2 linked regions of the Macaca fascicularis genome follow. The protein of the gene in region 1 purifies or fractionates together with the protein of each later gene. This does not show direct contact. Links are inferred from orthologs where the notes say so. Each region holds a gene or a part of one and is shown in the gene's direction. Other genes may lie near its edges.

The links.
Region 2: the proteins of FAM53C (region 1) and DYRK1A purify together in Homo sapiens (affinity purification with mass spectrometry; 8 studies listed by BioGRID and IntAct, counting the BioPlex papers as one, with this or other methods). This does not show direct contact. The link is inferred for Macaca fascicularis from reciprocal best matches to the Homo sapiens genes FAM53C and DYRK1A.

Annotation. Positions count from the first base shown.
Region 1 is NC_088380.1:144,835,652-144,840,027, forward strand, and holds the start of FAM53C (protein FAM53C), read left to right. Parts: upstream 1-1,282; 5' UTR 1,283-1,407; exon of another isoform or gene 1,408-1,596; intron 1,597-2,009; exon of another isoform or gene 2,010-2,051; intron 2,052-4,376.
Region 2 is NC_088377.1:9,632,161-9,636,416, reverse strand, and holds the start of DYRK1A (dual specificity tyrosine-phosphorylation-regulated kinase 1A), read left to right. Parts: upstream 1-1,178; 5' UTR 1,179-1,511; intron 1,512-2,103; exon of another isoform or gene 2,104-2,132; intron 2,133-2,358; exon of another isoform or gene 2,359-2,964; intron 2,965-4,256. UniProt on the Homo sapiens protein: Dual-specificity kinase which possesses both serine/threonine and tyrosine kinase activities. Exhibits a substrate preference for proline at position P+1 and arginine at position P-3.

The DNA of each region.
Region 1 (4,376 bases):
CTCCTGAGTAGCTGGGATTACAGGTGGGCGCCACAATGCCCAGCTAATTTTTGTATTTTTTAGTAGAGATGGGGTTTCACCATGTTGGCCAGGCTGGTCTCGAACACCTGACCTCAGGTGATCCGCCTGCCTCAGCCTCCCAAAGTGCTAGGATTACAGGTGTGAGACACCATGCCAATCCCAGCACTTTGTGAGGCCAAGGTGGGAAGACTGAGGCCAGGCGTTTGAGACTACCCTGGGCAACATAGCAAGACGCCTCTCTCTACAAAAATAGAAATAAATATGCTGGACACGGTGGCACACTCCTGTAGTTCTAGCTACTCAGGAGACTGAGATGGGAAGGATTGCTTGAGCCCAGAAGTTCAAGGCTGCAGTGAGCTATGATCGCTCACTGCACTCCAGCCTGAGCAACAGCAAAACCCCTGAGCAACAGCAAAACCCCGTTTCTAAAAAAAAAAAAAAAAAAAAAGCATGGTGTCTGGCACATAAGAGCAATTCTTGGAAACCATGTGTCCCATACTTCATGGCCCCTGACTCTGCTCCTTTTGCCAAGGGGAAATAGGCAGTGCAAGGTAAATCTCTCCACCCCTCTTTTCTCAGTTAGTACTGTACCTCACTTTTCTTTTTCAGTTTGCAGACTTGGTGACTCCTGCCTCCTCCCCTCCCTGGCTTAGTGAGGAAGATCCCTGCCACTGGCTCTACTTTCCAGCTGATCACAGCTATTTACCTGTCCCAGTCTTGAGTAAGGCACAAAATATTTACAGAAAACAGACGTCTTTCAGAGGACTTGCTAAGTGTAATAGTGAAGATTACTTGCATACTGCTACTTTCCAATCAATTAAAAAAAAGAAATAGAAAACTTTGTATTACAAAGAAATCACAACACGAACGCAGTTTAAAGCCTCTCCTTTATCCACTTTTTTGCTTGACTCCCTAAACCATCTGTGATGTTAGCTGAGACTCGAATTTACATAAGAGCCAGAAACCATCAACCCAACCTCTTCACACACTAACGTCTACATTCGTGTCTTTAAAAAAGACTTAAACTTTGGCTCATGTGGGAGGTGGTGGTAGTGGTGGAGACTTAATAAAAGGTGGTTTCGTCTTCCTGAAGTGGAAATATAGCACCGTCAACATCTTTTCCCCATCTGGCTGTTTCCTCCTTCCCTTTCTGTTTAAGGAAAGTGTAACCACCGTACTTCTCCCCACCTCGCCGCACCTCCCCCAACAAACGCAAGCAACTGAACCGCCTATGATGTCATAATCACAATCCCATTACCTCATCCTGCTGAGGGGGGGCGGAGAGAGAGGAGAGGGAGTGAACAGCCCTGGGCTATCCTGAGCTTTACAAAGTGTTCTGGGTGAGTGCAAATTACAGAACCAAGTGGAAACGTCCCCGCAACCATTGTAAGTTCTGGGTTTTTAAGGTTCAGGCCGATCCGGCAGCTGCAAGAGCGGCTCCTGGGACTCCGAGCAGGCCCTAATCGGCGCTTGGACCACACTTCCCAGCAGCCTTCACGCCGCGGACGGGTCCTTTGCTGGGGGAAGGGGGCTTCCTTCGCAGAGGTGGTCGTGGAGGGCGGGGCAGCCGAGCAGGTGAGGGGCACTGTGGCTAATGGCATGACGCGGGCCGAACCGAGTGGGAGGCTGCAGTTGGGCCGATGGAGGGAGGGAGGGCAGGGGCGATGCCTTTGTTTACCTTCTCCCGACATGGCCTCCCCCGCGGGTTTCAAGATGTACCTCCAACTGGGACCGTCCACTTTCTGCGATATTTTGGAGGGGGTGACTCGTTAGTGAGGAAACCACCCCCATCCCTAAATCAAAGCGCCAGGCTCGTTCCCGACAGCGCTGTCCGAGAGAGACTTTGAGAGAGACACGACACGAAGCTGCCCTCTCCGTGGGTGGCTCGGGGGGATTCTGCGAGCCGGAGCTGTCCCACTACTCTCCTCAGGGACTCGTTGGTTCGCGCCAGCGCCTTTTAAGGACACCGTGGGGCGAACGGAGCGCTCAGAGCTGCTCCGGCCGCGGCCCTGGGAGCTGGAGGAGCTGCGGTAGGTGGCGGAGGGCAGGTGGCGCTGGGGCCTCGGGGCGGGCACCTCAACTGTCCCTCCCTCCTTTCCTCTTTCCCCTCCCCCAGCCCGACCGCCCGCGCGGCCGGGCCTCGCAGGCCGCCTCCGCGGGGAGAGCACGGGACCCGGTGGGGGAGGGGGTGGCGAAGTGCTAAGTCCCAGACCCTCCCCATCCCTTGCGTCCTGAGTTCGCTTCCCGCGGCCAGATGATGGAACCTAGTGGGAAGAGGCGAACGACAGCCCCCCCTGAGCGAGCCCTGGCGCCCCCCCGCTCCGGGGACCAGCGGACGCCCCATGCCCCACCCCGCGGGGACAGGCAGGGCAACAGAGGGAGAGGTTGAAGATTGGAGGGGCCTAGCCTTTTGCTTCTTCATGGGGGTGGGGGGAGGGGTGTTCCCCACTTGTCACCCCTTTCCCCAGCAGAACCATATGGAGGAAGAGCAGGCAGGTCTCCACCTACCTGTTCATGCACCTCCCTGCCTTCCTCATGTTTTCCTTCAGTCTCCCCAAGAGGTGTGGGGCCGTGACCTGGGGGGAAGGTCCCCAAGGGATTTGTGACTCTCCTCCCTGTTGGCCTGACCTGATCCTACCTTGTCTAGGTTCAGCACAACCTCAGCATCCCTGAAACAGGAGTGTCAGGGGTTACTGCCATCCAATAGGAGATGGGGTGGGGGTCTGATCTTTATTTTTGGGGGCTGCTGGTGGAGGGAAAGCCTGAACTGAGAGTTAGGCCTGGTGGGGTTGCTGAGAGGGCCTAGCGGCCTGCTGCTCTCTGAAGGGCTGAGCCCCGTGCCAGTTGTTAAACTGAGAAGTTTTAACTTGTTTAGTGACTGTTCAGGGCTGTCTCTACCCTTCAGATACACAAAATGGAAGGGGAAGGAAGGCGGCAAGAGAGGGCTTCTTACACTTTTTTCAATGCCTGCTTGAGAAAGAGGAGGCCCCTCGCGGAGCTGGTTTGCCTTCTTTTGTGTCCTGGTTTGATTCCTTATGGCTTCCGTTCTGTTCCCCCTCTCAGCCTGGCCTGTTTTAGGAAACTCAGGCTGAGAGTATCAGTTGCGTGGTGGTAGTTGCATTGTTCCAATTACCGCTGTGTGTGGCCACATCCCAACAATTAAAATGCAGAAAAACACAAATTCACTCTCTTGACTTGATCCTAGAGATGGCTGGGAGTTTGCTGTTTGTCCAAATGCCTCATGAAAAGCTAGAGAGTTTGCTTCACTCCCTGCTCCTCATAGCTGGTTAGCCTGAGGCCTGGGGTCTGGGGGGTAAAATCCTGCACTTAGGTTCCCTCTCTGGTTGATCTTTGAGGGCAGCAGAGTTAAGAAACCAGGAGCAGAAGTAATATAAGCTTTAGCTTCTCCCGTAAGCATATAGGGGAAGCAGCTGAAGAGAGCTCCCCGGAAGCTAGAATTTTGTTCAGGGTGGTAATAATTATGCATGAAAATGATAGTTAACTATAACGATGATTGACTTCTCTTGCACCTTTCTTCCAAAGAACTCCAAATACATACAGGTTTATCTCTTTGCTCTTCCTTATGGCCTCCTCCTGAGGTGTGAGTGGGGTAGAGATAATTTCCTCTTCTTTGTAGAGTGATCTGTCCCCAAGGTCACAGAAGGAACAGCCCTCTTGGGCTTTTCTTAGTGTACAGGTGAGGGAGGATGGTATTCAGCCAGAGAGATAGACCCTATTGCCTTCTTCATCTTATTGATTTCATTACTTCTGACATTCTGAGGCCTTGAAGATTCACAAACGGGAACAAGAAATGGTAGTCTATGTGGACTCCTGATTTTTATAGGCCAGATGGTACATTTTGTACATTTTAATATGTTATATTGTTCCTGTGACAGGTTAAGATTATTCTGCCCACTTTACATATGGGTAAACTGAGGCCAGCGAGTATTAAATGATTTGTCAAAACTCTTAGCAAATTGGACTAATAATTAGATTTCTTGATGATTTGTTCTATTGACTAGCTAATGCTACACACATTCTCTGGTAAGCTGTCAGCTTGCTGGTCATTTCCGGGAATAGACAGAATAAAATCAAGACACTGGCTTAACCTCCCCTTTTCCCTTGAGCAAGGCCCCTCAGGTAATTGTGTGGGCTTGAAGCCTGTTCTCTGATACAGTTAGTTTGCTTCTATCAGAAGTTGACCATGAGAAAGAATCTTGGTTAACTGTATCCATGGACTTTGCATCAGATCAGGCTAAAAACTTAGTTGAATAAAGTCATGGAATTGTTTATAACGTCTGTAGAGTTGAAATGTATTGGAATTACCCTGATCATTTCCTTATCCTCTTCCCATT
Region 2 (4,256 bases), on another chromosome or scaffold:
GTTTCTTCCATTACCAGGAATAAAACTTTGAGTCAAATTTAATTTAGTACTAAAGGTTGCAAATGCTGACGTGCTCTGATAGAAGCGAAAGCTTGGTTAACGGGGTGGGATGGGGTGGGGGCAGGAAAGAGAGACCCGGGAGCAGAGAGGAAGGAGTTGGTTGTATAGGTGGAAGTTTGAGCTTGGGAGGAACCAGGTAGCGACCTCTCCTCTGAATAAGGGGCGCTCTGGGCCACTTCCTCTTTCTTCAAAACAATTAAGTTGACCGTGGACTTTAATCACATTAGCAGGGCAATTTTGAAACAATAATCCGAAAGAACTTTTGCCCGTTACGGCAACTTTTTTTTTATATTATGGAGATCAGTCTGAAAGCAAGCTATTTGCCCGATTACTTTTTGACCAATTTATTTTCGGTTTAGTCAGGTTTCTTTCCAAGTCTGTGCTAATCTGAATGGCTACCTTAGTAATTACTTTTTGACCAGTTTATTTTCGGTTTAGTCGGATTTCTTTCAGTCTGTGCTAATCTGAATGGTTACCTTAGTACATCAATGTCCTAGTAACTGTAGCAAGGACATTTTTGCTGGAAATCATTTAAAGCAGGTGTCTTTGAGTCATGTAGCATACACAGCGGTATTTACTGCTAGTTTTTTACACCTAATATCGTTTATAAAATTTTATCTGTTGCTACTATATTTGTGAGGTTTATGAAAAAAATTGGTTATGAACACTATCACAAGGAGGCAAAATCAAGCTTAGAAATCAATTAGTGACTCTGCTGTAAAATAGTACACACACACACTTTTTTAAGCTATACATTTATTAAATGCCATTAGAGCTGGTACAAAATACAATTTTTAGCTGGTGGCTCTATGCCGGTTACAACGCAGCCAGCATGGCATACTTGGGTTTTCAAGCCTCAGGAGCTCACCCAGCAATACATAGGCAGGCAGAAGGGGTAGACAGAATAAAAATCAGCGAAAGCCAGGATATTAATAAAGAGTTTTGATGGTTAAGGACAAGTAGGCAAATTAAGACGCTGGAAACCGAGGAGCTGCACAGAAAAGAAAACCAGGGAGCTGGACGACAAGGACACAGTAACAGCACAAGGGGATTTATCTAAGGGGCATTCCGATGGAGCAGGCAGGCTGCGCCCAGAAAGGTGGGGAGGGGTTGGAAGCAGATGGGCAGGGACGGGCGAGCGTGCACAGCCTGAAAAAGTTTTCATGATGGCTCCAGCCTAATTTCCCAACGCTGGTCTCGGGCGCCACAAAACCCGAGCGGCCCGACCGGAGCCGGGTGCCAGCCTCAGGGCCGCCGGGGCCCGGCGCAGCGTCCGGAATTCCTGCGATGTCTGGGGCCCGGCGGCGGCTCCTCCCCGCCCCCACCGCGGCCTCCGCCGGCATTTTCCGGCGAGGAGGCCCGCGAGCCCTTCGAAGAACCGGCTCCACGCGCGGCCGGCCGCGGCCGGCGCGCTTCCCGGGGAGAAAGGCGAGCGCGGCGTCCGGACCGCGGTGAGAGCCCTCCAGGCCCGGGCGTGCGGGGTGGGCTTCCCGGGTCCCTGCCCGAAGGCCGCGGCGCCCCGACCCTCCCCCTCCCCCGCCCCCGCCCGGGGCAGCCCTCCCCTCCCCCCGGCGCGGGCGGGGCTGCGGGCGCCAACGCGGAAGCGCGGGGCGCTAGGGCTGCGGGGGCGGCGGCGCGGGAGGCCGCGCGCGCTCCCCGGGCCGCAGTCGGCGCGGGCGCGGGGCGGGGCGAGGCGGCCGGGAGGCGGCGGGCGCTCGCGCACAGGCCTGGCCGCCGCCTCGCCCCCCCTTCCCCAGTCCCTACCCTCTCTCGGCCTAGCCGTCCCCCTCCTCTCCCCTCCCCCGGGCGAATCACGCGCCCTCCTCTGACACTCGTAGCGGGCCCGAGCTCCGAATTTATCCTTCACGTGACCTGAGGGGGTTGGGTGGTTGGCTGGGGACGGAGGGGGAGACGGAAAGGAGGGAACGGAATCTGCCGTTACCTGAGCAACAGGCCCCGCCCGCCGGATCGGGGCCGGGGGGCGGGAGGAGGACGTCAGCACGTCAGCCGGGGTTTTGCGTTTTGATTGACAGTTGCTATAGCGACCGGGTCGGTCCGTCGCCATTTTGTTGGTTGGTTTTTTTTTAAACCCTTTCGCTTCCCGCCCGAATAATAATAAAAAGCCCCATTGGAGTGAGGCGGGGGTGGCGGCGGCAACCGCGGCGGGGGTATCCGGGGAGACTGCTGCCGTCGCTGCTGCTGATCGCGGCCCAGGTCGGGCTCAGAGAGCGGACACCCCGAGCGGGGGGTGCGGGCGCCGCCGCCGCCGCTTCTGCTGCTGCTGTTCCTGCTGCTGCTGTTGGTGCCGCTGCCGCCGCCGGCGAGCGGGCGGGACCGGTGTGAGTGCGAGTGTGTGCGAGGGAGCGTGTGCGAGGGCGAGTGTGCGCGCGAGTGTGCGGGTGTGTGCGAGTGTCTGTCTGTCTGTGCGGGGACTCGGGGGCGGGCGGTTCGGGCTCTCCTGGCGGAGGAGCCGCCGCCGCCGCCCGGGCCCCGGCGCTTCTCGCTGCGCAGGTTCGGAGCGCGCGCCATTTTGTGAGATTTACAAAATCCTCCTCGGGAAGAAGCCGCCGGCAGCAGCCGCCGCTCGGCGCCCGGCCTCGCCGCCGCCGCCCTCTGTGCCGGGCCGGGCCGCGCGGCCCCGCCGCCGGGAATCGGGGCCCGGGGACTGCGGTATTTGCCGGGGAGGGGGCTGTCGCCTCCCCGGCCCCGGGCGCCGCTGGAACCGCGAGCCGAGGAGAGACTGAGCAGGCTGCGGCGCGGCCAGGAGCCGGAGCGCCGGGGGCGGAGAGAGGCGGCCGGGGCGGCGCTGGCTGCGGAGGCCGCGGCGGGAGCGGGAGCGCGGCGCGGGAGCCCGAGGCTGAGACTCACCGGAGGAAGCGGCGCGAGCGCCCCGCCATCGTCCCGGTGAGTGTCCGGCCCGGCCGCGGCCCCGCCCGGCTCGGCGCTCGGCTACCCCGGCGGCCCGCAGCCGGGCCCGAGCCGAGGCCGGCCGGGCGGAGGGAGGGACCTGCCATTTTAGGAGGAGGCGCCGCGGGCCCTGGGCCGGCCGCCGGGGGAGGGAGCCTCAGGCCCGGTCCCAAAGGAGCGGCGGGCGCGAGCGGAGGGAAAGTTGCGGAGGGTGGGAGCGGGGGCCGCGGCCTCCCGGGAGCCGGGGCCTGGGGGGCCGTAGACAGCGCCAGACCTTCACTGGCCGCCCGAGCGAAGGGGTGGAGGTTGTCTTCCTCCTCCTCTTCCTCCTCATCTTCTTCCCCCAGCTCCTCCCTCGTCCCTCCTCTCGGTCCCCACCAGTGTGGGAACCGCCGGGGTGCTTCGCAAGGACAATGCACGGGTTAAGAAAATGGGGCCGGCTGGGCGAGGACGGCGGGGCCGGGCCGGGCGCCGGGGAAGGTCGGGAGCCGCTGCCTCGGCGGCCCTGGGGGTCCGCGCCTGAGCGAGGGGCACTCACTGGTCTCCGATGTTGGGCGGGGAGCGCGAGTGTCCCCGGCGGCTCGGGGTGGAGGGATGACCTGCCCGGCAGCCGGGGGAGTTGGTGGCTGAGGAGAGGTGAATTAGAATGGATACCTGTGTATCGCCACAAAACTTCACGAGTCTATTTATAGGCACAAACCCACTCTCGCTTCGGAGCCACTGAAGCTGCTGAGCAGTTCAGCTCTTGGCCAAAGGCTCCTCCCTAATCTGAAATAGTTAAAAATGGTAAAATTAGTGAGTCAGTGACTTCGGTTCCTTGCCTGTGCCTTTAGCCCAACCCTAGGTGACACGAATCCCGTAATCTAGGCGCAGCGCAGGAATGCCAGCACCATTTGGTTCTTGAATTCCTCCCAAATTGTCAGAAAATACGCCTTAGAATATGGTTTTCACAAGTGCCAGGCGCTGTTCTCAGGGTTTTCCGTGGAGCGACCAGCTTGCCCAGCCGGTAGGAACTGTTCCCATTTTACAGATGAGGAGACTGAGCCTGGAGAAGGGGCACTGACTGGTCTGAGGTAATACAGCTGGGACTCCAGGAGCCGGGAAGCTGTAGCCAGTCTGGACTTGTGAATCACTAGGGTGTAACTTATTATTATAAATACTGGCAAATTTTGGAGTGATTCGTGTGTAATGACTCAGGGTTCTAACCTAGAGATTGTGTCCCCGTATGGTTTTTAGCATGGAATTAATAACCTTTGTGGCTTGCCGAGGCCGAAAGGTAAAGTAATGGT